Linked DNA regions of Xenopus tropicalis. The protein of the gene in region 1 purifies or fractionates together with the protein of each later gene. This does not show direct contact. Links are inferred from orthologs where the notes say so. Each region holds a gene or a part of one and is shown in the gene's direction. Other genes may lie near its edges.

Region 1 (6,204 bases):
TCAATGGCACTCTGCAGCTCCAAACTGGCCCAAGGAAAGTCTCCCATAGGGCTCAATGGCACTCTGCAGCTCCAACCCGGCCCAAGGAAAGTCTCCCATAGGGCTCAATGGCACTCTGCAGCTCCAACCCGGCCCAAGGAAAGTCTCCCATAGGGCTCAATGGCACTCTGCAGCTCCAACCCGGCCCAAGGAAAGTCTCCCATAGGACTCAATGGCACTCTGCAGCTCCAACCCGGCCCAAGGAAAGTTTCCCATAGGGCTCAATGGCACTCTGCAGCTCCAACCTGGCCCAAGGAAAGTCTCCCATAGGGCTCAATGGCACTCTGCAGCTCCAACCTGGCCCAAGGAAAGTCACCCATAGGACTCAATGGCACTCTGCAGCTCCAACCTGGCCCAAGGAAAGTCACAATACTGAAGCTTGAATGACTTTTTCGTAGCCATTACTACTTGCTCGTAAATTGTAGCGACTTTTTCATAGCCGTCGTGCTGAGTATGAAAGTTTCGGATTCATTCAAGCTTCAGTATCGTGACTTTCCTTGGGCCAGGTTGGAGCTGCAGAGTGCCATTGAGTCCTATGGGAGACTTTCCTTGGGCCAGGTTGGAGCTGCAGAGTGCCATTGAGCCCTATGGGAGACTTTCCTTGGGCCAGGTTGGAGCTGCAGAGTGCCATTGAGCCCTATGGGAGACTTTCCTTGGGCCAGGTTGGAGCTGCAGAGTGCCATTGAGCCATTTGGGAGACTTTCCTTGGGCCAGGTTGGAGCTGCAGAGTGCCATTGAGCCCTATGGGAGACTTTCCTTGGGCCAGGTTGGAGCTGCAGAGTGCCATTGAGTCCAAAATCATGCAAAGTCGCAAAGGTTTGCCCGCTGTTTACGAGAGCTCAATACAAAAAAGTTGCAACAATATACAAGCAAGTCGTAATGGCTATGAAAAAGTCGCAACAATTTATGAGCAAGTCGTAATGGCTACGAAAAAGTCGCGACAATTTACGAGCAAGTCATAATGGCTACGAAAAAGTCGCGACAATTTACAAAAAATCGCAAAATGTTCGTTTCCAATCTGATTTTTTCCCATTCGGGATTCGGATTCGTGGTTTAGTAAATCAGGCAAGAAGAACTGAGCTGCATGAAGTGCAACTAATGGAAGTACAAAGAGTGAGTAGGGCAAAGACTGCTGGGAAATCTTCAGTACCACAAAGGCACTTTTCTTTTTTGTACCTTGTCATGTCATTTCTACTTTACTCCCAAAATATAATTTTGCTTGTCTCCAGTATTCGCCTCATGCTGTGGCACACCAATGAAATAAACCAGTATCTCCCAGTGACGTACTTTTTCTAGACAATCCCCCCCTCAGTATTTCTAGATAAGATGTTGTCAACACTTAAAAATAATTTACAGAGACCAGTAGTCAGCTCTGCAAACTATGGGCATTTGGAAAATAGAATTAAAACCAGGGGATGTCATTCATAATTTGTTCAATTAACAAACAGTACAACACAAGCCAGCAAAAAAATGCGTACGTTTTCATAGAACTTTAATTAGACTGCTGACCAAAGGGCGCGGCCTATTACTAACAACGTTAAAGCAGAAACATAACCACGTATCACTGCCCTGCACCTCCCTTTCCTTCAGCGATAAACACTGAGATTTATACACTAATCCGCTACAAAAAAAATATTCTCCCCCCTCTGTGGTCCCCTCCCACCTACGAAGCCTGACTAATAGGCGCTCACAGTTGAGTTACAGCTACTTTGTGATAGGTCCGTCAACACGTCCGTCAAACGTTTGCCTAATCGGGAATAACGTTACTACATTACCACCGCCTATCCTTGAACTACTCCAATAGGCTTAGGAGACGGGCTCCTGATACGCCCTCCTACCCGCGGAGACTGCCGATCTCGTGCAATGTGATTGGTTGGACGTTCCTTGAGCGTGTTCGGCCTGTCTAAAGGGCTGTCAGTGCGTGTGCGCACCACCTCACTGTGTCAGCGCTTCCGCATCCGCCAGCCGTATTCCGTGAGCGCATCCCTGATTCTTGCTCGACTCTCTCGGTGCCCGGAACATCATGAATGAGGAGTACGACGTGATCGTGTTAGGCACCGGCCTGACGGTAGGCACTAATAGTATTTCCTCTGGAAGTGCCAGCCACACCCCCGTTTATCCAGATCCATTGCCTGGGTGAGGTGGCCTGCTGGCAAGGCCCGTAGCCTGGGGACACTCCCTTGCAGTTCGGCTGTGCAGTAACCATGGCATATATTTTGTGCGAAACAAATGATTTGTTGGTTTTCCAATCAACAGGGCGCAACCAAAACAGCGTTATTATTCTCTTTGGTCATGGTTTATGTCATGTGAAGTCTTGCTAGGTAATTGCCCGCTGTGAGCTAATGCCATGGCCCTCTCAGCTGCTGCTTTTGGGCAGTTAATGGTAACAGGATGGAGGTTCGAATGCTCAGTCTATTCAATCCTGTTGCTTGTGCTTGGATCTAAAACTCAATTCATTAACAGCCTTTGCCTATTTCACTGCACGCAACTAGACTGAACTAGAATCCCACTAAGCTTAGGCCAAAGGGCCCATTAAGTGCTGCCAATGGGGGAAATATTCAGGTTATCCTTGCTAAGCAAAACAGGTTTTAATCTAATACAGGTTTAGAAACCTTTACAGTTTGGCATGTGTAGGGTTTATTGTGGCTCTCAGTTTTCTAAAGCTACCACTTCCTTTATAAGCTATCTGAAGTGTCCCAGGAGTTTCCATGTACTTCCTTTGTTGAGAGTCACCAAGTAGGGAGCTGAAGGAAACACTACAACATACATCTATGGGAAGCGGATTTAGTGTGGGCCTGCAGCCACTCAGGTGCTATGAAGAAGGCTTAGGCTTTTCAGTCCAGACATTTTTATATAAGGTTATGTCAATGAATTACTAAACTGCCAGCCCACACTGTCAGCTGTTTAGTGCTGCCTCAAATTACACTGCCTGTGTATGCCCCAAATTCAGCTGGCGCACCTCAAGCGGTTGCAAATCTTTTATCCCACCACCATTGTACCAGATTATCTTGGCCTTTGCATTACAAACGACATGCACACACCTGGGTGTGGTTTAAATTTAAATGCTCTTTCCATTCATAAAGCCAGTTGCTGACAGGGTGGCTATATGCAAGAACAGTACTAAGGTAGTATCTCCATCAAACAAAAAATCCTTGAATGTCAGATCTGCTGATTGCAATATATGTGATTCCTTTGTGGCCTTTTTGAGCCCTGATCAGGGTAGGTTCATGGACTGCCATTGATTTGCTCACAGACATCCATCAATATTCTTATTGGCTGAATGAACTATATGTTCTATATGATCTGTATGTGGAAAATTGTTCAGTTTTTGGGTTTAACCCAATAATGAGCCCAGACTACATGATTTATCTTCACCTATTTTTTTTTTTTTTTGTTTCAAGCCCTCAACCATAGCTTAAAATAAATTTACAGAAGAAATGTTATAGTTCCAGTAAACTGAATGCACCATACATATTTACCCCCAAATTTCAGCTTGATAAAACTCTAAAGTATGCCTGAAACATCAGTTTGTGGTCTTTGCCTTGATGTTATAAATTTTATCATTCAAAGACTTTGAGAAACACTATCCAAAATTGTTGGCATTGCTGCCTGTGGATAGTGACACGTTGTTTGCACCTATTTTGACAGACACTCCAGTAAGGTGCTCAGTGTCGGTTATTTGTTATATTCACTACCAGATTGGTACTTAAATAGACTTCATGCAGTTCTTTTCTATACATTGTAGTGGCCCACCCTCTGTAGGCTGAAATTGCAAAGTAGAGACATGATTAAGCAGTAGGTAAAGACCCTATTGTTCTGTAGGTAATGCTCAATCACCAGAATGGCAAAGAAAAACAGTATAAATATATTTATCATCAGTGCACCTAAATGGCTAAACACAAACTGTCAGGCCAAAGTTTCATCTGATAATGGACATCTCCATACTTTTATTTAATCACCTCATTTTGTGTATGTATAACCCACTTGCTTACAGAAACGTATGTTGCATATATCATTCATCCCATTTTTTTTTTGTAATGTTTTACCACTCAATGGCTACTGCATTTTTCTGAACACACATCTTGGTATGATTACCTGTTGTCAGTGGTGGTTAGCATTTTTTAGGCAGGTGTATTGCTCTTTTGGTCATCATGCTTTGATCCACTCTTCTGCTGTTCGCCGTTGCTTATTTATACACTCATGCCTGCTTTGCATCCATGGGTGTATAATATATATATATATATATATAAGTAATGGCGAGGCACTGACTTAGTTTTTCGGTTAAGCGCAACACTAACTTGCAGGGGTGATAGTATCAGTGGCACCTGATACTACCTTCCTGTACAGTTTTTGTAAAGCTATCCTTCAAACAAACACAGTGCTATTTACAATGACAAGTTTTAGTATTTAGAAAGAAGTTTTTACTTCCAGGTAAAACTGTTCTATTGTGTTAGTCAAAAAGCTATAGGATAACATTTTTGATATGAAACATAATTACTGTAAAGGTGAAACCTATATTTGCAAACTAAGATGATAATCACAACAAGTTTTTAGAACTTTTCAGTTTTTTTTAGCTGATTTTATGTGCACAGCTTTTATGAATAAAAATGTAAAGATATAATGTGATATAAAATAATAACATTGTAAATTCTCTATGTATGAATGCTTGGTAAGCAACATGTCCAAAAAGTAACTTTAGCACAAACGTGGAACCTTCTTTTAATCCAAGTGTTAGTAGTGCCCTAGTCCATTAGATAGCATGTGTCACTTTGTGTTGCAGCCCCCTTCTTGCCACTGTCTGTGTTCCAAAACTGGTTTCTTTAGACATATCACTGTTAGATACTGAATACAAAAACCTTCACAGCCCTGCACGCAAATTGATTTTTCAGTCTGAATCGATCAACAGTGATATGATTTGTTGAAACTGATATTTGACATGGCACAAACAACCAGACTGTAAAGTGGTGATCAGAATTGGTCAAAGTGCCCACCCAAACCTGAGCATGTGTGGCCAGTTTGAGTCTTAGAAAAATGCATAAGCAGACCATGTGGATTGGGAAAAATAAATGTTTAGCTTGATTTATTTATTAAGGATTTTTTCTTTTCTACCTCATGAGTATAAAAGAGAATGCTGATTGGGGGTCTGGGAAGGAAATATTAAAGGCTAATGACATAAGTACTTAAAATAGAATGGTTCCTGAAAGGCACTTTGGATTTCCATATAATCAGGTTACTCCTCATGACATCTGGATCGTTGATCAGCCAGGCCTAATATACTCTATATAACACTGACCAGCATTAACATTACATATGTTTAGGTTACTTAGTAGGGTAAGGACAGTCCTGCTACACATTTGTAGGTGTGAGAGATGCAGGGTGCCTAAGAGTGGCCCTGGACCTATGCCTACTTAGTAATGGTAACGCTGTACAATTATGGTGGAGGCCCAAGCAATCTGTTAAAATAACCTGCTGCCTTTCCATTTAGCTGAATAAATGTTTTTGCTTTAAGCTCAGTAAACCCAATTTCATTTCCTTTCATGTGCATTTTATCATCCACTCCCCATTTTAGACTTTACAAATCACTAGTTTTTTTTAGGTGGCCACATTAAAAAATGGCTCCGAAGATAGGCTCTTTTTTCACTATCACAATTGAAGTACAGCGTGCATGTGCACCTGGCCATATTCATTGTTTATTCCTTCTTGTAACAAACTTTTCTTCAAGTCAGAAATATTAAATTAAGCTTGTGCTGAAATACTTTTCCTGTTGTTTTAATTAAGAAATAAGATGTATTTCTTTCCCAAAACAGGACAAATACTAAAACTGAAATCTCTTAATTTCTGTGGTTTTTCTTGAGAAACTGAGGGAGGAGGAAAAGGTAGTTAATCAAATTATCAGTCCAAAGGTATGCTCTCCTCCAGTGCTCCTCCATATCTAATGGCCTGACACAGATCGTATCTCAGAGAAGAGAGTTTGAGATCTCTAGTTAAACTACCCTAATTAGGCTAAGGACCCACTGAATGAGTTAGATCGCTGCTGTCTGCTCCAAAATGCTTTTCCAGCCTCAATTTGGCTTTCCAAAATTGCCTGCAGGAGAAATTTTTGTGCGATTTCGGAAAGCTAAAGCGCTGCATTGGCCTTTCCACAGGTGACTCCTATTGTTGCCA
Region 2 (6,010 bases), about 38 Mb from region 1:
ATAGCAACCAGATACCTACTGAAATTGTGCAAATTAGGACAGATATTATACTCAACGTCATACTAAAAGTTAATTTAAATGTGAACAACCCCTTTAATTAAATAATTCACATTTTAAAAAAAAAAAAATATTTTTCTTTGTAATTATAAAACAGTACCTTGTACTTGATCCTAACTAACATAATTAATCCTTATTGGAAGCAAAACAATCCTATTGGGCACTTGTATATTTTCAGCAAGAGGCAGAAATTCTCACCTGTAAGGGTTTGGATAGCGCTGCCAAAAAGCAGCAGATACTTGGTCCCATGAGTTCTTCAGGATATTAAATCCTGAGAAATACTTCACCATTGTTCCCAGTCACAGTAGGAATCACTGTGTCAAACAGGGCAGGCTGCTGGAACCATCAGAGGCCGGCAGTGAAGGGGGGGTGTGGAGGTATCCTGGCAGGAACCGTCTGTAGCCAGCTTGTTGCCAGAGAGTGTCTTTCCATTTGAGGGGGAACTGGAAAATACAGGTTATGGGTAAGTACTATGTTTTAGCTCAAAGGAAGTGTGAAGTGATACACAGCTTCTTCCAATTGTGTGGCAAGAAATCACATCATTACCCACTATAAGCATAAATAGATAAACATGTTATTCACTGCCTGGTGTACTAAGTATAACTCTATATGCTAACAATACATACATTTACACCAAATATATTACAAATATACAGACACTTTAGAAATGTGGCTAGCATGGTGGGGCAGTGTTTAGCATTCGATAGCCAGGGCACTATCTGCAAGGAGTTTGTTTGTGCTCCCTATGGTGGTGTGGGTTTCCTCTGGGTACTCAGTTTTCTCCCACACCCCAGATACATACAGGTTAACTGGCTCCTGATAAAATACACCAGCATATGAATCTAAAGGGTATATTTATCATGCTGTGTAAAAAGTAAAGTGAAGCATTACCGGTGATGTATCCCACGGCAACCAATCAGTAATTAGATTTCAACTGTTAGAAAACCAAAGCATCTGATTGGCTGCTATCAGCAACATCACCTTTTCAGGCCACTTTTTACATGCAATGATAAATATACCCCTAAAGCTGGCCACACACGCACCGATACTATCGTATGAAACCTCGTTTCGTACGATATTCGGTGCGTGTATGGCATGTTGGCGAGTCAACCGATATCGCAGGAAGCTGCTGATATCGGACGACTCGCCGATCGGGCCGGTTAGAAAATTTTGATCGGGCGCCATGACCAAAATCTGCCGTCAGGGCTGAATCGGGAGAAGGAGGTAGAAATCCTATTGTTTCTACCTCTTATCTGCTGTTTCAGCCCTGACTGTGTGTGGCGGATCTGACGATGTTTCATGCGACCGATGGTCGCACAAAACATCGTTAGATCGCCATGTGTATGACCAGCTTAAGACTGTAAGCTCAGCCATGCAAGGGTCTGAAGTCTAATCTCTGTAAAACACTGGAGAATATGTCAGTGCTTTATAATAATGTTAGCCTCCATCAATTCCTCTATCAATCTAGTGCAGAGAAAATGAAAAAAGCAACATTGGTATTTTATTTCTTCCACCCAAAAACAATAATCTGATTTTATTTTAGGTTTTTAGCCTGTTTTATCGATTGGCAACTCTTTCAATAAATGCTCATACTTTCTGAAGTTAATCCATTTTGCATTAGTGCCCAGCTGTTGGGTGCATGGGTGCAGCGTATACAGGTTATGGTGCACCTCACACAGTTAGGGACTTCATTAAAGTGCCTGCAGAGTTCCTGGGGGAGCCCGGCACCTCGTACAGCGAATATATAATAACATCTGGAACTCCCTGCAGATAGGAGGCTAGCGGATACTGTCTGAAACCAGGGAGATTAAGTGACAGGGGCAGCGCTTTAGCCAATAAATATCATTCTGTAACATTGCACCGCAGCTCTGGATTAAAGAAAGAAATACAGAATCGCAGTGAAATTGACAAGGTCTTATAAAAGAACCAGCTAGTCTATTGCGTTTGACAGTGACAAGGTGACACCCCCTGCCATCCGCTTACCCGCCTCATTCGGACACTCTCATCTCCCCAGCGCCGCCATGAGGGTACAGTAGGACATCATGACGCTTCCGGGCTTGGGAACCGCATCTCCCACACACGTGACCGCTACACATGTACTTCCGGTGGCAAGTGGCAGCCCTTGAGCAGAAAGAGGAGAGGCCTGGGACGAGCAGGCGGGCACTACGAGCAGGGGGTGGAGCCGAGCCAAGGCAAGGCTTGCGGTGGGCGGGGTAAATGTTGCAGGGCGGGGCTACCGTACAACACTGACAGATGAGAGAGGCCGCAGTGGGAACTGCTACACGATGAGATACGGGTTGCTGCGTTAGTGACCTACACAAAGAGGGGTGAGCTTTCACATATCTGACTGGGCCTACTGAGGTTGAGTAATGCCATTTTATAATGGGGGAAGTCTAGGTGAAATCTATTACCTACCTCTGTCTGCCTGCTGCTGTACTACGTTTCCCAGAATTCTGTCATAACCTGGTGCTGGGGGAAAGCGTGCGAATGCATTGGCCTGTATACATATTCATGGAATCAGGTGGTGGCAAAGCTTGATAGTGATTTTATATATATAACATATTTATATATCATTCTATCCCAGGTTGTATTGGGCTTTGGAGCTTTTGTTTTGCATGGCTAATGTTACACTCCTTCCTTGGTTAGAGTAATGAAACCAGTCTCCCATTCTAGTAAGATCCCAGGGCTTTGTATTCATTTAAGTCAAAATGTCTGTTTTCTGCTTTGTTTAGAAGCACTGTTACTGACTGCACCTTTCTCTCTAGTGGTAAAGTGGCCAGACAATTTAATTAAAAGCAACTTTCTAGTATATATAAAACGGTTTCAGTGATTTCAAAGCTATTTGTATTAGGAATCACTTCCTCCAGCCAAACCTTCTCTTCCCACAGTTCCTGGCACACTTCTGTTATTCCACTTCTTTCCAGGTCTGTTAATCACAGAACATACAAGGCATTGTTGAAATAGGAAACTTGGGCGGAGAGCTGGCTAGAGCTGGCTACCGATACAGTGTTGCAATGGGAAGAGACAGTTCCCTAGAATTAGATTTTCTTTCATTATGGAAAAACTTTTGGGTGGACATTCCCTTTTATAGAAAACTGCATACAATCCCTAATATTGAGTCTAATATACTTTCCCTTTTTTAAAATAAGTTGGTTATAGAATTAGATAGCCGCTTTCTAGTTCTAACAAAATGATATTGATATTTAAGTTCCTATCTTACGTTATAGCAATAACTTATGAGCCTAATGTAACTCATTTCCTTTGCTCTGTTTAAACAGATGACGTTGCCCCTGGGCGCTCACCACACTGGACAATTGCACTTACTGATCCAAGGGACAGTGCTTTGGTAACAAGGAGGACAGCATGAGTGGGCAACGTGTCGACGTTAAAGTGGTGATGCTGGGAAAAGAATCAGTTGGGAAGACAAGCCTTGTTGAGAGATATGTGCACCACCGCTTCCTGCAGGGACCGTACCAGAATGTGAGAGCAGGCGTAGTCTACAAAATTAGCGAATACTTGTATTAAACCAAAAGTGAAAGTAAACCTCAGTCTATTCACAACCAACCTTTTGAAGCATTACAATTCTTGGAAAGGATTACACTAACAATGCACTTCCCAGTGCTTAGTTCCTGTTACATTGAAAAATGTGTGCTGTAAAGTATTTTATATGAAATCACATGGGGGTAGTACAATAACAGATGGTAACAAATTAACCATCAAAGTTACTAGCTTGTTGCTTGAAAGGAGTTGCATAACTAGACCTGAAGAAAACTTTGCACCAGTTATTATATCACCCCTATCATGCATAGAATCTTTATAGCACTAATTCTTAGAGCTGCTGTGGTGAACTCTAACTCTCAGTGGTGAGACCAAGCATTTTACCACATGATACTGCTCAGTGCCACCCCATGATTTTAACTGGAATGGCATATGCCTGACACTGTGCACAAAGGGGACGTTTCAGCCTGAAACTGCTCTCGTGTACATTTTCCCACAATACATTTTATTTTAAAGGTGATGGCTGGTATGCTCATTGGAATGTTTTTACGATAAAATACTTGCATTTTGATGAAAAAAATCCTGTGAAACAAATGCGAGAAAACTGATAAAATGCCAAGAAAAGCTCAGGACAGTGGATTCCATGATGCAAATAATAAATCTGCTGGTCATGATTAGAAATCATCATATACATATACAGCAAATGTATATTTCAAGGAAAAAAGCTGGAAACTCTCAAGGAACACTTCCTGCAGTTCATGACATTTTTACTTGTTCCTTAAAACTAGCTAAAGCATGGTAAGGGGATAGACAAAAAAGGAGAACAGCTAAAAGTTAAGTCAGTAGTGTTTGCTGGAGATGGCTATATTGCTTCTGATAGGAAAAGCCTTTTGGGTAGGGCAAAAGGTCTGCCAACAAAAAAAGCCCAGAGAAAGTAACCACAGTCACAGAGCAGAAAATACCTTGGCATTTTTGCATTTTGACAACTAAACACAAGCTTGTATATTTGCTATGAACTGTACTACGCACAAACCTATAGCAGAAATAGGTTTAATTGGGAAATACCGGTAAATGGCTATTATGCTGTATGTTTTGTCCATTAAAGAAGAAGGAAAGATGTATCCATTTGGGGTGCAAAATGTTAGGCTCCCCCCCCAGTGATTGTAATCACTTATCTGATACCCTGGGCTGGTTCTCCATTTAGCAGAAAACACCAGCAAGCAAGCACCATGGAGTGATCCTCCTCTTCCGCTTCTTCATATTCAATGGTAGGCTGATGCATGCACAGTAGAGTGAAAAGGTTGACTTTATTTATTAAAGTTCTGCTTTTCACTCTATTGCGCATGCTCACTTACTCGAAGAAGGATGAAGCAGAGACAGGATTGCTGCACAGTGTTTACTAAAAAGTACTCTGGGCTGGTGCAGTTTTCTTGTAAATGGAGCAACAGCCCAGGGTATCAGGTAAGTGATTACCAAATGTTAGGTGAAATAGACTTTCCTTCTCCTTTAAATAATAATGTGATAATCACCTTTAGGCCTGTAAACAATTCTAAAGATATATGTGTTTATTGTTAGTTATGCATGTTTTCTTTAGTTTGATATAATCATTATTTTGCTTTAGACCATAGGAGCTGCATTTGTTGCCAAAACTATGTACGTGGAAGGACGCAGTCTAACATTGGGAATATGGGTAAGCATTATGTGCCTGTATAACAGGGAACTCCAACCTTTCTTACTCATGAGCCACAGTCAAATGTAAAAAGACTTGGGGAGCAACACAAACATCATAAACATTTATAGGGGTGCCAAATAATGGCTGTGATTGCCTATTTAGTAGCCTCTATGCATAATCTCATTTTACAGGAGGCTCTCTTTGGTAGTAAATCTTGTTTTTATTCAACCAAAACTTGCCACCAAGTCAGGAATTAAAAATAAGCATCTGCTTTAAGGCCACTAGGAGCAACATCCAAGAGGTTGGTGAGCAAGATGTTGCTCATGCGCCACTGGTTGGGGATCACTACTGTATAATAAAGTAAGTTGTGCCAAACACATTTGTGATGTCCCTACATTTTTCAGGACACTGCTGGGTCTGAACGTTATGAAGCCATGAGTCGCATATATTACCGAGGGGCCAAAGCTGCTATAGTTTGTTATGGTAAGGACTTTTTCAGAACTGGTGTGCTTTATTAGTTAGTGTGTTGGGCCTATTAGAATAATTATGATGATGATGAAAAATGATTTGTGCTTGAGTAATAGAGAGAGCGTTAAAAATAATACCTCCTGATTTAGCTGTAGTTATAAGTGGTATAGCAGAAAGATCAGTAGTGGGCCCCTGCTGTTGGTTAGAAAAAATGTTTTCTTTTGTTTGTTATTTATTTGTTACATTACGCTGAACAGTTTGTATTTAGCAGATTATTAAGAGTATATCTAATTGCCATTTTGAAACAATCTTCTG
Region 3 (6,218 bases), on another chromosome or scaffold:
CCCCCAGTGTCCTCCCCAACATCCTTCAACTCCCCCCAGCAAGAACCCAAAATCCTCCAGCTCCCCCCAGCATCCACCCAAAATCCTCCCCAGCGTCCCTCAGCTGCCCCTTACCTTTCTCCAGCTGCCTCCCAGTGTCCTCCAGCTGCCCCTTACCTTCCTCCAGCTGCCTCCCAGCATCCTCCAGCTGTCCCTTACCTTCCTCCAGCGTCCCCCTGCATTCTGCGTCTCCTACTGCTCCTACCACCCCCTGCCCGCTTGCCGCGGCTGTGCCCTGGCTCTTCTTCTCCTCCCCATGACGTCACACGCATCTTTCGTTAGCCCCGCAGCTTCTGCACAGTGAATCCCTAAATGTTAGAACTGACCTGTGCGGCGCAGAAGCTGCGACGCTAACAAACGACGCGTGTGACGTCACGGGAAAATTTTAAAATCGGGACAAATCGGTGGCTGTCCGGGACAGCGGGAAAGAGACGCAAAATTGGGACTGCATACCCCCCAACTGTCCCGCTTTCCGCGGGACAGTCCCGGTTTTTAGAGCGCATCCCGCTGTCCCTGATAGTTCCATGAATGTCCCGCATTTCCGTAATAAATTAGGAAATGCGGAACATTCATTGACTTACCCAGGACAGCGCGATGCGTTGGCGCTCCTTCTTCCCCAGCGGCTCCTCAGTGTATGCGGCTCCTTCTCCGGCGGTCCCTGGCCCTTTTATAAGTTGCGCCCGGTGTGTACGTGTGACGTCATTACGCACGGGCGCAACCTTATAAAAGGGCCTGGGACCGCCGCAGAAGGAGCCGCATACACTGAGGAGCCGCTGGGTACGAAGAAGAAGGGAACGCTGTGTATGCGGGGGGAGGGGGCTGTCTCTATTGGGGGCACTGTGTATGGGGTGGGACTGTCTCAATTGGGGGCACTGTGTATGGGGGGGGCTGTCTCTATAGGGGGCACTGTGTATGGGGGGGCTGTCTCTATTGGGGGCACTGTGTATGGGGGGGCTGTCTCTATTGGGGGCACAGTGTATGGGGGGGACTGTCTCAATTGGGGGCACTGTGTATGGGGGGGCTGTCTCTATTGGGGGCACTGTGTATAGGGGGGGCTGTTTCTATTGGGGGCACTGTGTATGGGGGGGCTGTCTCTATTGGGGGCACAGTGTATGGGGGGGACTGTCTCAATTGGGGGCACTGTGTATGGGGTGGGACTGTCTCAATTGGGGGTACTGTGTATGGGGTGGGACTGTCTCAATTGGGGGCACTGTGTATGGGGTGGGACTGTCTCAATTGGGGGCACTGTGTATGGGGTGGGACTGTCTCAATTGGGGGCACTGTGTATGGGGGGCACTGTCTCAATTGGGGGCACTGTGTATGGGGTGGGACTGTCTCAGTTGGGGGCACTGTGTATGGGGTGGGACTGTCTCAATTGGGGGCACTGTGTAGGGGGGGCACTGTCTCAATTGGGGGCACTGTGTATGGGGGGACTGTCTCAATTGGGGGCACTGTGTATGGGGGGCACTTTCTATGGGGGGCATTGTGTATGGGGGCACTGTGTATGGGTAGTACTGTCTTTTAGGCTATTGGGGGCACTGTGTATGGGGGGGCAAACTGGTACATAGTTATAACTCACTTATAACTGACTGCCTTCTCTCTATATTTGTATTTTATATGTAGGAGTTGCTATATTGTTTTCCTTAGGTAGTACAGTATGAGGGAATAGCACATTTGCGTCTGATCCCGCCATTTCTACTATATAAAAGGAGAATTTTTTGAAAAAAAAATGGATGGGGTGTGGCAATTGGGTCGTGGCCACAAAAGTGGGCGTGGTCAAAAATTGCCATGCTGCACGCACGGAATCTTTTTGTCCCTCTTTTCATTTTTCAAATGTTGGGAGGTATGGGACTGTCCCGGGTAAAGCGGGACAGTTGGGAGGTATGGCGTTGTAGTTACGCACGATCAGGGGAGGATGTCGGGCGGGGTCCCCTGTGGGGGTACAGAAGACTCGTGGGGGCCCTTGGGGCAGTAGCCCTGGTGGACCCTGCACCCCCACTCCGACCCTGAATCCGTCTAAAGAAACCGATATCGGCAGCTAGAATCAGCCTTTGTATTGGCCACCATTAGTGAGGAGGGGTGATAGCATGCCCCAAGCCACTTCAGGAGGGAACAATGTGCCAGTAGGCCAGTAATAACGATGCCCCACTTACAATCAGAAATATGAAACTGCTATTCAAAGTAAATGGATTGTGCTGCCAAGTTGCACAATAGTCCAGCAATAAATTGTTTCTCATGGAAATAAAACGCTGAACACAGTATGAACATAACAACATATGTTTGACAAAAAGCACGTTTTCTTCTGTTATTGTTTTTGTGAGGCAAAGTGGTCTTTTATACTGCCTTCCCGACATCTCAAGTCCCCAGGTAATATGGCGGCAAGGCGGTGACACAGCAAATCACGTGGTGTTTTTCCTTTTACTCCCTTCCTTCTTCACGCCCCGTTCCGTTTTAGCCAATAGGTAATTAGGAGGAGGCGTTGACGTCAGGCGCCCCATGACAGGGTGTCACTTCCGTTGGGAAGAGAAGGGTTGGCAGGGGTAGGAAGCGGAGACAAGCAGCGGGCCCGGCGTATAGTATCTGACCGGCCCGGGACATCCAGACGCCACAACAACCCACCCGTAGCAGGTGAGAGGGGCACTGGGGGTTTGGGCAGGGGGCACCTAGTCGGGGGGCTTAATTCAACCCAGCGCCCGACACTAGCGGAGGCCTGATAGCGAGGCCTGGGCAACACCATTATGGTAGTGTTCGAAAGGCACCCACCCTTCCCCCGGCAGGTAGCCCTGATTGTGCTGCTGGGCCTAAAGGCGAATGGCATCATGTCGGGGATGCTGAGTGAGATAATACAACGGCAGCTGGGCTGGCACCGGGACGGTCCCTCCCAAGGCATCCGTGGGGCATAGGTGGTACATCCGTGGGGGATAGGTGGTACATCCGTGGGGCATAGGTGGAACATCCGTGGGGCATAGGTGGTACATCCGTGGGGGATAGGTGGAACATCCGTGGGGCATAGGTGGAACATCCGTGGGGCATAGGTGGAACATCCGTGGGGCATAGGTGGAACATCCGTGGGGCATAGGTGGTACATCCGTGGGGGATAGGTGGTACATCCGTGGGGGATAGGTGGTACATCCGTGGGGGATAGGTGGTACATCCGTGGGGGATAGGTGGTACATCCGTGGGGCATAGGTGGTACATCCGTGGGGCATAGGTGGTACATCCGTGGGGCATAGGTGGTACATCCGTGGGGCATAGGTGGTACATCCGTGGGGGATAGGTGGTACATCCGTGGGGGATAGGTGGTACATCCGTGGGGGATAGGTGGTACATCCGTGGTGGGGGGATAGGGGGTACATCCGTGGGGGGATAGGGGGTACATCCGTGGGGGGATAGGGGGTACATCCGTGGGGGCATAGGTGGTTCATCCATGGGGGCCCTCGCCATTGATGAGACCGTTCTATATTTTGTTATGCTTCGGTGTATTAGGGGAGGCCAGTGTTCTAAACCAAAAGGTAAGGTGGGTTTCCGATGGCAGCCGTGGCCCCTGCCTGTGGCTCCCCAGCTGTGGGAATCAGGGATCTTCACTCTGTTGCTTGACAGGAACCACCCTTGCTTGAGCCCTTGGGGGGGGGATATTTGGAGCAGTAGCCCAGTAGCAGCCACAGCAGTAATGAAGATATACTTTGTTTCTATTCTCCTTTTTTGATCCCCACCCTTTCAGGCTTCAGCTTTTGTTCACATGTTTAATAGTGTCCCCTTTACTCCTCCCTTCTCTCAGCGTTATGTGTCTGCAACACTTTATTGCTAAATGTCCCTCATCATCATCACTTATCAGTCTCCTTCCTCGCCATTCCACTATAGTATTACCCAGTATTTATAAAACATACAGTATACAACCCCACAGTGGCTCATTATTGTGTGTCACCCCTATTTCAGGGCTGTTAATCTATAAGGCCACAAGCCTTAATGAGCTCACTTGCCCTGTTTATCTGTGTCCCTGCTAGCCAGCTAGAATGCACCCTGTTTTATGCATTTATTGCATGATTGCTAGAAATCAGGTTGATAATTACCCAGTGTGTTATTGAGGCTGACGATTCACCTGCTGTATAACAGTGATTATTTCATCTTTCTTTTTTTACCCATTTCTAAGCCCAGCCCACCTGTGTAATCCTTTCATTACCCCTTCCCACTTTCTGTTCTTCATTATGCAACATTGTGGAATCTGTGTACCTTTTCCAGTTTCTCAGCTGCCTTTCCAAGTCCTCATGTTCCCTCTTCTATTTCTCTGTCATCTGCTCTTCCTCTTTCTCCAACAATTTGCAAATACGCTACCCTCTTCATACCCCTGATGGTATCCGCTCACCTTCCTCTTCAGCCCTTCCTAAATGTTTTTTCCCTTATTACTTCCTCATTCATTTTGTAATTGCTAACCTCACTCCTATCACTGTTAACTGCCAACTAATATTTTTGTTTGCATTATTCAGATGCCATAATGTCTGAACACAGAATAAACAGGGTGGTCCTTATTATTCTTTAATGCAATTTTATATATTAATTTACCTTTTATTGGACATTATTTTCACCTTTTGAAGTGCTTGTCTATCTCTTGTTTATTCTCCACTTCTCTGCCCTTTGGCAAGTAGGGTAGTTAGCATTTCCTATTTAAAGAATATATATATATATATATATATATATATATATATATATATATATATATATATATATATATATAAAATATTTTTTTTTTTTTTTTTTTTTTTTTTTTTTAAATATCCATAAAAACCACTATAAACAGTCCCTATAGTAAGTCTGTTGTATTTTGTAAGGGCTCATACTCACAAGTGTTTTTTGCGTGTTTGCAAATGCATGCTGAGTGCAAAAAAACCCACATATATTGGGTTTATATGTGTTTTTTTTAAACGCACCTGTGTGTTTTTGTTGGTTCCAAACAACCCTCTATTCTAGTGAATTATGAATGCACGTCAATAGCTAGAAAATGCATCATGTTAAAAAATTTTTTGGGTGAAACGCAATTCTGAACGCTCGTGCGTTCAACCAGGCAAAATATAATGGAATCAAGTAGAAAATGTGTTTAGGTGTGCTCAAAGATGAGTCTCAAACGAACATCAAACAAATGTACCCCAGCAAGAGACTGCTCCCCTTATTAATACCTTACACTTAACTAGTCTTCTTTTTCTATATACAAATGACTTGTGGCATTATTATATCCCTATTGGCTCTAATCACACTTTCACCTTTTTTCTTCATGTTAATGTGCTGTATAATGGTTTGATGTTTTTCCTTCCCTGGGTGATTGATACATGGTGTCAGTATATCCTGCTACACTTGCATATATCAGAATAAGATTTACTTTTGGCGTGGTTGTTAAATATTTTTTTCCTCACTAGTTTTAGTACAGTGACGTTCTGAGATAATTAGCATTTGGTTTTAAGCTTTTGTTTTGTTGTTTTGTAGTTTTTGAGTAATATACCTTTTTTAAGCAGTTCTCTAGTTTAACATTTTACCCCTTTATTTGATTCCTAGGGTTTTTATTGAGTCTAGCAGCAGCCATGCATTATTTGAATATCAGTCTGGAAAAAGAATGGAAAGAAAAGTCATTGAAATTAACAATAATAAAACTGTAGCCTTACATGACAACAGTGTTTTTGTTTTATTTATCTTTTTGCAGGGGTCAATGACCCCCATTAGCCAGATAGCATTTTAATTTGGAAGCTGGAAAGATGCAGACATTCTTTAAATAACTAAATAAATAAAAAGGTGAACTACCCCTTTAATGCTGTTAATATGCTGCTTGCATTTTCTCATTGCCATACATTGTGAGTGATTACAGCTTCTCTCTGACACCTTTCAGTTAATATTTATTGCCTTAAGAACTTACAGTCATGCATTATCATGCCAAAGGTTTTGCCATTGAAAAATGGAAACTGTTATTCAGTCTAGATGAAACAGTGATTATATTCTGTACTCTATCCTAGTGAAATACAATGTATAGAACACTTCTGGGGGCTTTAAAAAAATCTTTTGAAGGTGGCACACAGTCCTTGGGTAAAAGATCAGCCTTCAGTGATTTTGTTAAATGTGTTCAAATGTGTTTTCGTCTCTCTCGTGGCTCAGGCACCTCTGTAATACTCAGTTTTTATACATGAATATCTTTAGGG
Region 4 (6,253 bases), on another chromosome or scaffold:
ATCTACATCTAACTCCCTTTGTTTGTCTTGATTTCCTTGTTATACTTTACTTTTCCTAATGATTCGTTTTTGTTTTTTTCTACGCTGGCATCAGCCTTTCCCTATGTCTGCACCTGGAGCCTTTGTGCCAGCCCAGGTGCAGGCACACGGAGAGGATTTTTGGTGCAAAACCACGCGAATATGCATTTCACAAGGAAATCCGCTCCTTGTGCCTGTACCTGGGCTGCCTCAAAGGCTCCAGGTGCAGGGATAGGGACAGGCTGATGCCAGCTTAGAAGCCGATTCTGGACCTGCATTTATCTGTGACAGTGTTTCCGGATCATATATATGGTTTTTCCTTTGCATGGTGCAGCAACAAACTGTGTTCACTGACACTGGTTTTTGGAAGCATTCCTGAGCCAATGCACTTGCACCAATTGCCACTATAGAATTGGGTCTGTATTTAATGCAGCACCACCTGAGGGAAGTTTACAGCTAACCAATATTGACTTTTGGCCTTGTCCCTTGCGTACAGAGATTTCCTGTATTCTCTGAATCTTTCAGTGATATTATGTACTGTAGATGACGTTATTCTTGAATTGCTGCAATTTTAGCCTGTGTGGTGGTTCACAGAGTGAAAGAACCAAGCCTCTCTGCGGTCCACTCTTTTTAGTATTACATTACTTTTCCACTCTTTTGTTGGCCCTGTCCAAACTTTTTTGAAATGTGGTGCTAGTATCAAATACAAAACATAGTAACATAGTAAGTAACATAGTAAGTTGGGTTGAAAAAAAGACATACGTCCATCACGTTCAACCATAATGCCTATATCTAACCTGCCTAACTACTAGTTGATCCAGAGGAAGGCAAAAAAAACCCATCTGAAGCCTTTCTAATTTGCCGCAGAGGGGAAAAAATTCCTTCCTGACTCCAAGATGGCAATCGGACCAGTCCCTGGATCAACTTGTACTAAGAGCTATCTCCCATAACCTTGTATTCCCTCACTTGTACTAAGAGCTATCTCCCATAACCCTGTATTCCCTCACTTGTACTGAGAGCTATCTCCCATACCCCTGTATTCCCTCACTTGCTAAAAAGCCATCCAACCCCTTCATAAAGTTATATAATGTATCAGTCAGTACAACTGATTAGGGGAGGGAATTCCACAACTTCACAGCTCTCACAAGCATATATTTTTCAGAAAATAATAATATTTCTTGGCATTTGATATGTTATCTTTGTACTGTTTACATTTAAATATAGGGTTTAAAGGGGATCTGTCACCCAGACATAAAAAACTGTATATATTGTTTAAGAAAAGGTCATTTTAAAATACAAAAGAATTTAAAATTATTTTATAGGTCCCCTTTAAAGAGATTCTGACACCTGAAATGAAACTGCTTTTTAAATCTATCATAACACGGCCTTTCCAAGCTATTTATAATTTTGCCATTAAAATACTTTCTGGTGCTTTTTTATTACCTATCTGATCCCTCATGTCCCTTTATGAGGGTGCAGCCATATTTGTGCAGCAGCATTAGAAACTATAACTTACAGGGTTAGAAGGGAGTCAGGGTTAGAACTTCAAGTAACAGTTACTTACAAAAGCAAACCTATTAATGAAAATCATAGCATTGTTTTTTTTATATTTTATGCAGTGTCCCAATGTTTTTGGAAATTGGGTTATAATTTATGTAACGATTTACTGTATGCATAAAAATGATATTTTCAGAAGTCACCTTGAAGTTCCATGACTTGTTTAAAGCATTCAGCCTCCAGCCTCCTGCCTTTACATCACATCACAGGACTTCTTGTTGCCTTATAATATCTTCATAATAATAATAACAATAGAGGGTATGTAATTCCATATGTTATCAATAAAGTACATAAGATATGTAGAGTGATAGTATGTAGAGTATTGTATATTGATTTTCATTGTTCCAGGAAATTGGGCCAATGACATGAGCAGACAAGCAGGTCTAAAGAATGTACGCAGCCGCTATCTGCAACAAGCTCTGTAACTGGCAGCCAATAATGTTCTGGGTAACATAAAATACAAATATAAAGGCAAAATAAAACAAAAAAAGAGACATACTATTAAATATGAGACTAAAATACGGTGCCTTGCAAAAGAATTCAGATTCTTGACAAATTCTCCTGGTTACTGACTGAAAATAATCCTATGCTGAAACCTTGTTCTCTGATATTTTTTATTTCAACGCACAAAAAAAAAATAACAAGCAGGGCTGATTCACTAGCAGCGGCAACACAAACACGTCTGTTTGTAAAGCATAAGCATCGAATCATACTTGGTCGTACCGATAATATTTGTGTATGTAGGCACATAGTGCTACTTATATACACAGAAACACATTACTCAGATGGGGAAAAATAAAATAATAGGAATATAAGTTAATACAAAAAATAAAACTGCATTCCAGATTCAGTGCTATTTCTTACCAGACAAAGGAAGTTAAACACAGAAAATAATTTCCGACCTGGCAATGTATTAACCGGCCCAGAAAACTAACCAATCACGAGCACCCGCTCTGACATTACTTCCACCAACCAGCTAACGTCTCTCAGTTTGACTCGGCAGCTTTGCCTGATAAACTTTACGCTTGGGTTCGGCGGCGGGGGGTCTCCTGGGATGGGCGGGTTGCGGTGACGACAGGGCGTCACTAGCCAATTGATCTTCGCTTTCACATAGATTGACGCTGCCCGTGGCCAATTGTTCGCAGCTTCTGGTATTTCCTGTATAGTAGTTTTTAATATGGCGAAGACTTACGATTATTTGTTTAAACTGCTACTTATCGGCGATTCTGGGGTCGGGAAGACGTGTGTATTATTTAGGTTTTCAGAAGATGCCTTCAATTCAACCTTTATATCCACTATAGGTGAGTCTGAGTTGTCGGGTGGGGAGCAACTGGTGGGAGAAGGGGATGGAACAGGGGATGAGTGCTGGGGTTTTTTTTGTGGGTATACGTACTAAGTATGGGTATGCCGGTCTGAATATACATTAATACCAAGGGAGGCATTCTTCTATTGTCTGTCTTTGTAGCATATAGTATTGAACATTCAGCATATCTTTCTTGTTTTATAACTGTACGTGTCAGTATACAGTAATATAATTCCAATAGAGTTACATTATTTGTTTTTACCTGAGATAAAAATCTGTAGTGCTGATGTATGTATAAAGAATATGATGAACATTTTCCAGCAGTTCCTATGGGGTTTATAAAGCGCTAGTGTATATACATGGGCAGAAGGGAGAACATCTCAATGAATACACACACATTAAGAGCTATAGCTTGTCATTTGTAACACAAGAAACGCATGTATGCCTCCTCTGGTCCCTTATAGAGTAGAACTTTAGAGATGTCAGTCCTGTGTCATCAACAGCAGACCTATATTTTTATTTTATCACTGGTTATGATCCTGGTAGTGTAGCACCTGATTAGTTGAGGGATCTATTCCAGGTAGTTATAGCTATTGTAGAGACTACAGTGATATCATCTCTTCTGATGAACCTTTGTACTCAGTGACGGGCTGTGTAATAAAGGTGAGACTTTGAATGAAAAGGGCATTTCTTCTATTCTTATGGGTGTTAGTATGTAAACTTGCTTTATATGCCTACATTAATGCAAAGGGATAACTGGCAACAATACATAGCATATTCATTTTTTATGTTTTTACTTAAAGGGGAATTTGATTAAAAAAAAAAAAAACAAATGGGCTTAGATTATTTTTTAATTAGTTTCTCTTAAATAGCAGCTACTTTATTCTGAGCAAAAAACAAAAATCCCCTCTCCATATATTGGTCCAGTTTGTCACATCTTTAGTGGGAACTGCATACAACTTTGCCTAACTAATGCAACATCCATAGGTATCAATTAAGGTGATCATAAATGGTTCTGTTCTGCTGTCCTGTGACAGTGTTTGAGATAATGCAATATGCAATTGCAGCCCTCATTAATATACAGGTATGGAATCCCTTATCCAGAGAGCGCCAAATTATGAGATGGCTCTCTCTCATAGACTACATTTTAATCAAATAATTCAACACATTTTTAAAGTGTTTTTATTTTCACTGTAATAATAAAACAGTGTTTTGTACTTGATCCCGACTAAGGTATAATTAAACCTTTAATGGAGGCAGAACAATTGGGTTTATTTAATGTCTAAATTATTTTTAGTAGACTTAAGGTATGGTGATCCAAATTTCAAAAAGATCCCTTTTTCAGAAAATACCAGATCTCGGGCATTTTGGATAACAGGTCCCATACAGTAAAACAAAAATACTTAATATTTTCTGTGTTAGATATATGGCCTTATAGTTTAATGTAAGGGATACCCTAAACCCTGGATTCAGTTTGGAATTCAGCTGAAGTTTTTTTCCGAAGGATCTGGATTCAGCCGAATCCAAGTGCCCGGCTGAACAAAATTGGAACCCTTAAAATCACATGACTTTTGGTCACACACGTAAGGAAACTAGTACATTTTTTCCTCATGCTGCATGCATGGTTCCTTTTAGACAAATTAGGGTTTGCTTTTGGTTCAGGATTCGGCCGAATTCTTCATGAAAGGTACAGGAATCAGCCTAATCCAAAAATACATTTTTACCTATTTACTATAATAGATTAAAAGTAATCTCTACTTATTAAAGCTGCTTATATTACATTTAGAATGATAACCGGTATCGCCCAGGGTGATCCCTAAAAGCAGTTTTGAAATTCAGACATGCTTGTTCCAAAAAATCATACTTCACAGAAACCCCAGTATTTTTCTCTAACATGAACACTTCAATAGCGGAAACAGTGCTTTGAGGTGTTAAAGAAAGTGTGCTACATCAGAAACGGCAACCCTTTGGTCTAAGAGAGAAACTAGACTGGCACCTGCTTAACAGAGACGTGGCAGTTTGTCACACATTCCTACTTGATTCTTTAATGATGATAGCCGACTTCATTATCTGTAATGAAATGGGGATTGTAATTAGTGGAGTTGTAAAACAGCCAACATTCTGAGAGAGAGCTTTTTTTTTTTTTTTATTTCTTTTCCTGCATGAGCACTATATGTATCAGGTGACAAAGGCTCAGTGAAAGGTGCACTATTGTATTTGGGAATCTCTAAAGTAATGAAGGTGTTGACATAATGAACTGCCTGTATAATGTTAACCCTAGAATCATATTATATGTTTCAAAAATGCTACTGAAGTAACAAATGAAAGCAAATATTTCCTCCCTGACTTTTTTAGATGGGGATGATACTTTTTCATATTAGAGTGAAAAAAACATTTCCAAATGATATTTAATTACAACACTGTAGTATTCAATTTATTTTCCCTAGGAAACATCTGGAAAAGCACTAAGGTGAAATCATATTGCTGTAACAGACCCAGCTGGCAGCCTGTTGGTGCTTAAATGAGGCTAAAACACTTGCCTCTTGAATAAAACCTCATTGGGAAGCCTGGGAAATCCCATCAGGCAAGCACTACAACTGGCCATCCTTTCCCAGCATATCCCATCATGAGATCTGATCTTAAACTCGATCATATCAGTATGATTTGACCCAACGCTTGGATGGCCAAGTTGGACATAGATCCTTTGATGTGCTAACCTATCCAAGCAAACATTTTGAATTTGTAAGCACAGCCCTCTTTACCTTATGTATCAGTCAGAATATGTAGTACAGGTATCGGACCCCTTATCCGGAAACCCGTTATCCAGAAAGCTCAGAATTACGGAAAGCCTGTCTCCCATAGACACCATTTTAACCAAATAATTCAGAATTTTAAAACTGATTTCCTTTTTCTCTGTAGTAATAAAACAGTACCTTGTAATTGTTCCCAACTAAGATAGAAATAATCCTTATTAGATGCAAAACAATCCTATTGGGGTTAATGTTTTATTGATTTTTTTAGTAGACTTTAGGTATGGAGATCCAAATTACGGAAAGACTCCTTATCCGGAATACCCTTGGTCCCGAGCATTCTGGATAACGGGTCCTATACCTGTAATATGAATTATTTTTAGCAACATTTAAAGAAGAAAGGAAAGCATCATCACTAGTGGGTGCTGATTATGATGGCTTATATGAGATCCCGTTTATTTGCTAAAAGCTTCACGGGCCTGGGGTCTGTAAGAGCACCACCCTGCCATCATCTTCTTTCTCCTTGGAGCCTATGTGCACTGTGTACATTTACAGTAGAGTTAAAAGCTAAACTTAGAAGCAATAATCTAGCATTTTTTCTGCTACCCATGCACATGTGGCTGTA

Evidence for each region. Proteins that work in one complex are often made in the same cells at the same time.
Region 2: the proteins of gdi2 (region 1) and rab24 purify together in Homo sapiens (affinity purification with mass spectrometry; 3 studies listed by BioGRID and IntAct, with this or other methods). This does not show direct contact. The link is inferred for Xenopus tropicalis from reciprocal best matches to the Homo sapiens genes GDI2 and RAB24.
Region 3: the proteins of gdi2 (region 1) and rab7a purify together in Homo sapiens (affinity purification with mass spectrometry; 3 studies listed by BioGRID and IntAct, with this or other methods). This does not show direct contact. The link is inferred for Xenopus tropicalis from reciprocal best matches to the Homo sapiens genes GDI2 and RAB7A.
Region 4: the proteins of gdi2 (region 1) and rab8a purify together in Homo sapiens (co-immunoprecipitation; 5 studies listed by BioGRID and IntAct, with this or other methods). This does not show direct contact. The link is inferred for Xenopus tropicalis from reciprocal best matches to the Homo sapiens genes GDI2 and RAB8A.

The regions. Positions count from the first base shown.
Region 1 is NC_030679.2:84,457,528-84,463,731, forward strand, and holds the start of gdi2 (rab GDP dissociation inhibitor beta), read left to right. Parts: upstream 1-2,013; 5' UTR 2,014-2,062; coding exon 2,063-2,107; intron 2,108-6,204. UniProt on the Homo sapiens protein: GDP-dissociation inhibitor preventing the GDP to GTP exchange of most Rab proteins. By keeping these small GTPases in their inactive GDP-bound form regulates intracellular membrane trafficking.
Region 2 is NC_030679.2:46,179,764-46,185,773, forward strand, and holds the start of rab24 (ras-related protein Rab-24), read left to right. Parts: upstream 1-2,354; 5' UTR 2,355-2,384; intron 2,385-3,335; 5' UTR 3,336-3,420; coding exon 3,421-3,537; intron 3,538-5,176; coding exon 5,177-5,245; intron 5,246-5,631; coding exon 5,632-5,710; intron 5,711-6,010. Other genes in the region: prelid1 (PRELI domain-containing protein 1, mitochondrial), read right to left, coding at 256-347.
Region 3 is NC_030680.2:135,593,994-135,600,211, forward strand, and holds the start of rab7a (ras-related protein Rab-7a), read left to right. Parts: upstream 1-2,562; 5' UTR 2,563-2,667; intron 2,668-6,218.
Region 4 is NC_030677.2:104,416,314-104,422,566, forward strand, and holds the start of rab8a (ras-related protein Rab-8A), read left to right. Parts: upstream 1-2,597; 5' UTR 2,598-2,752; coding exon 2,753-2,876; intron 2,877-6,253. UniProt on the Homo sapiens protein: The small GTPases Rab are key regulators of intracellular membrane trafficking, from the formation of transport vesicles to their fusion with membranes.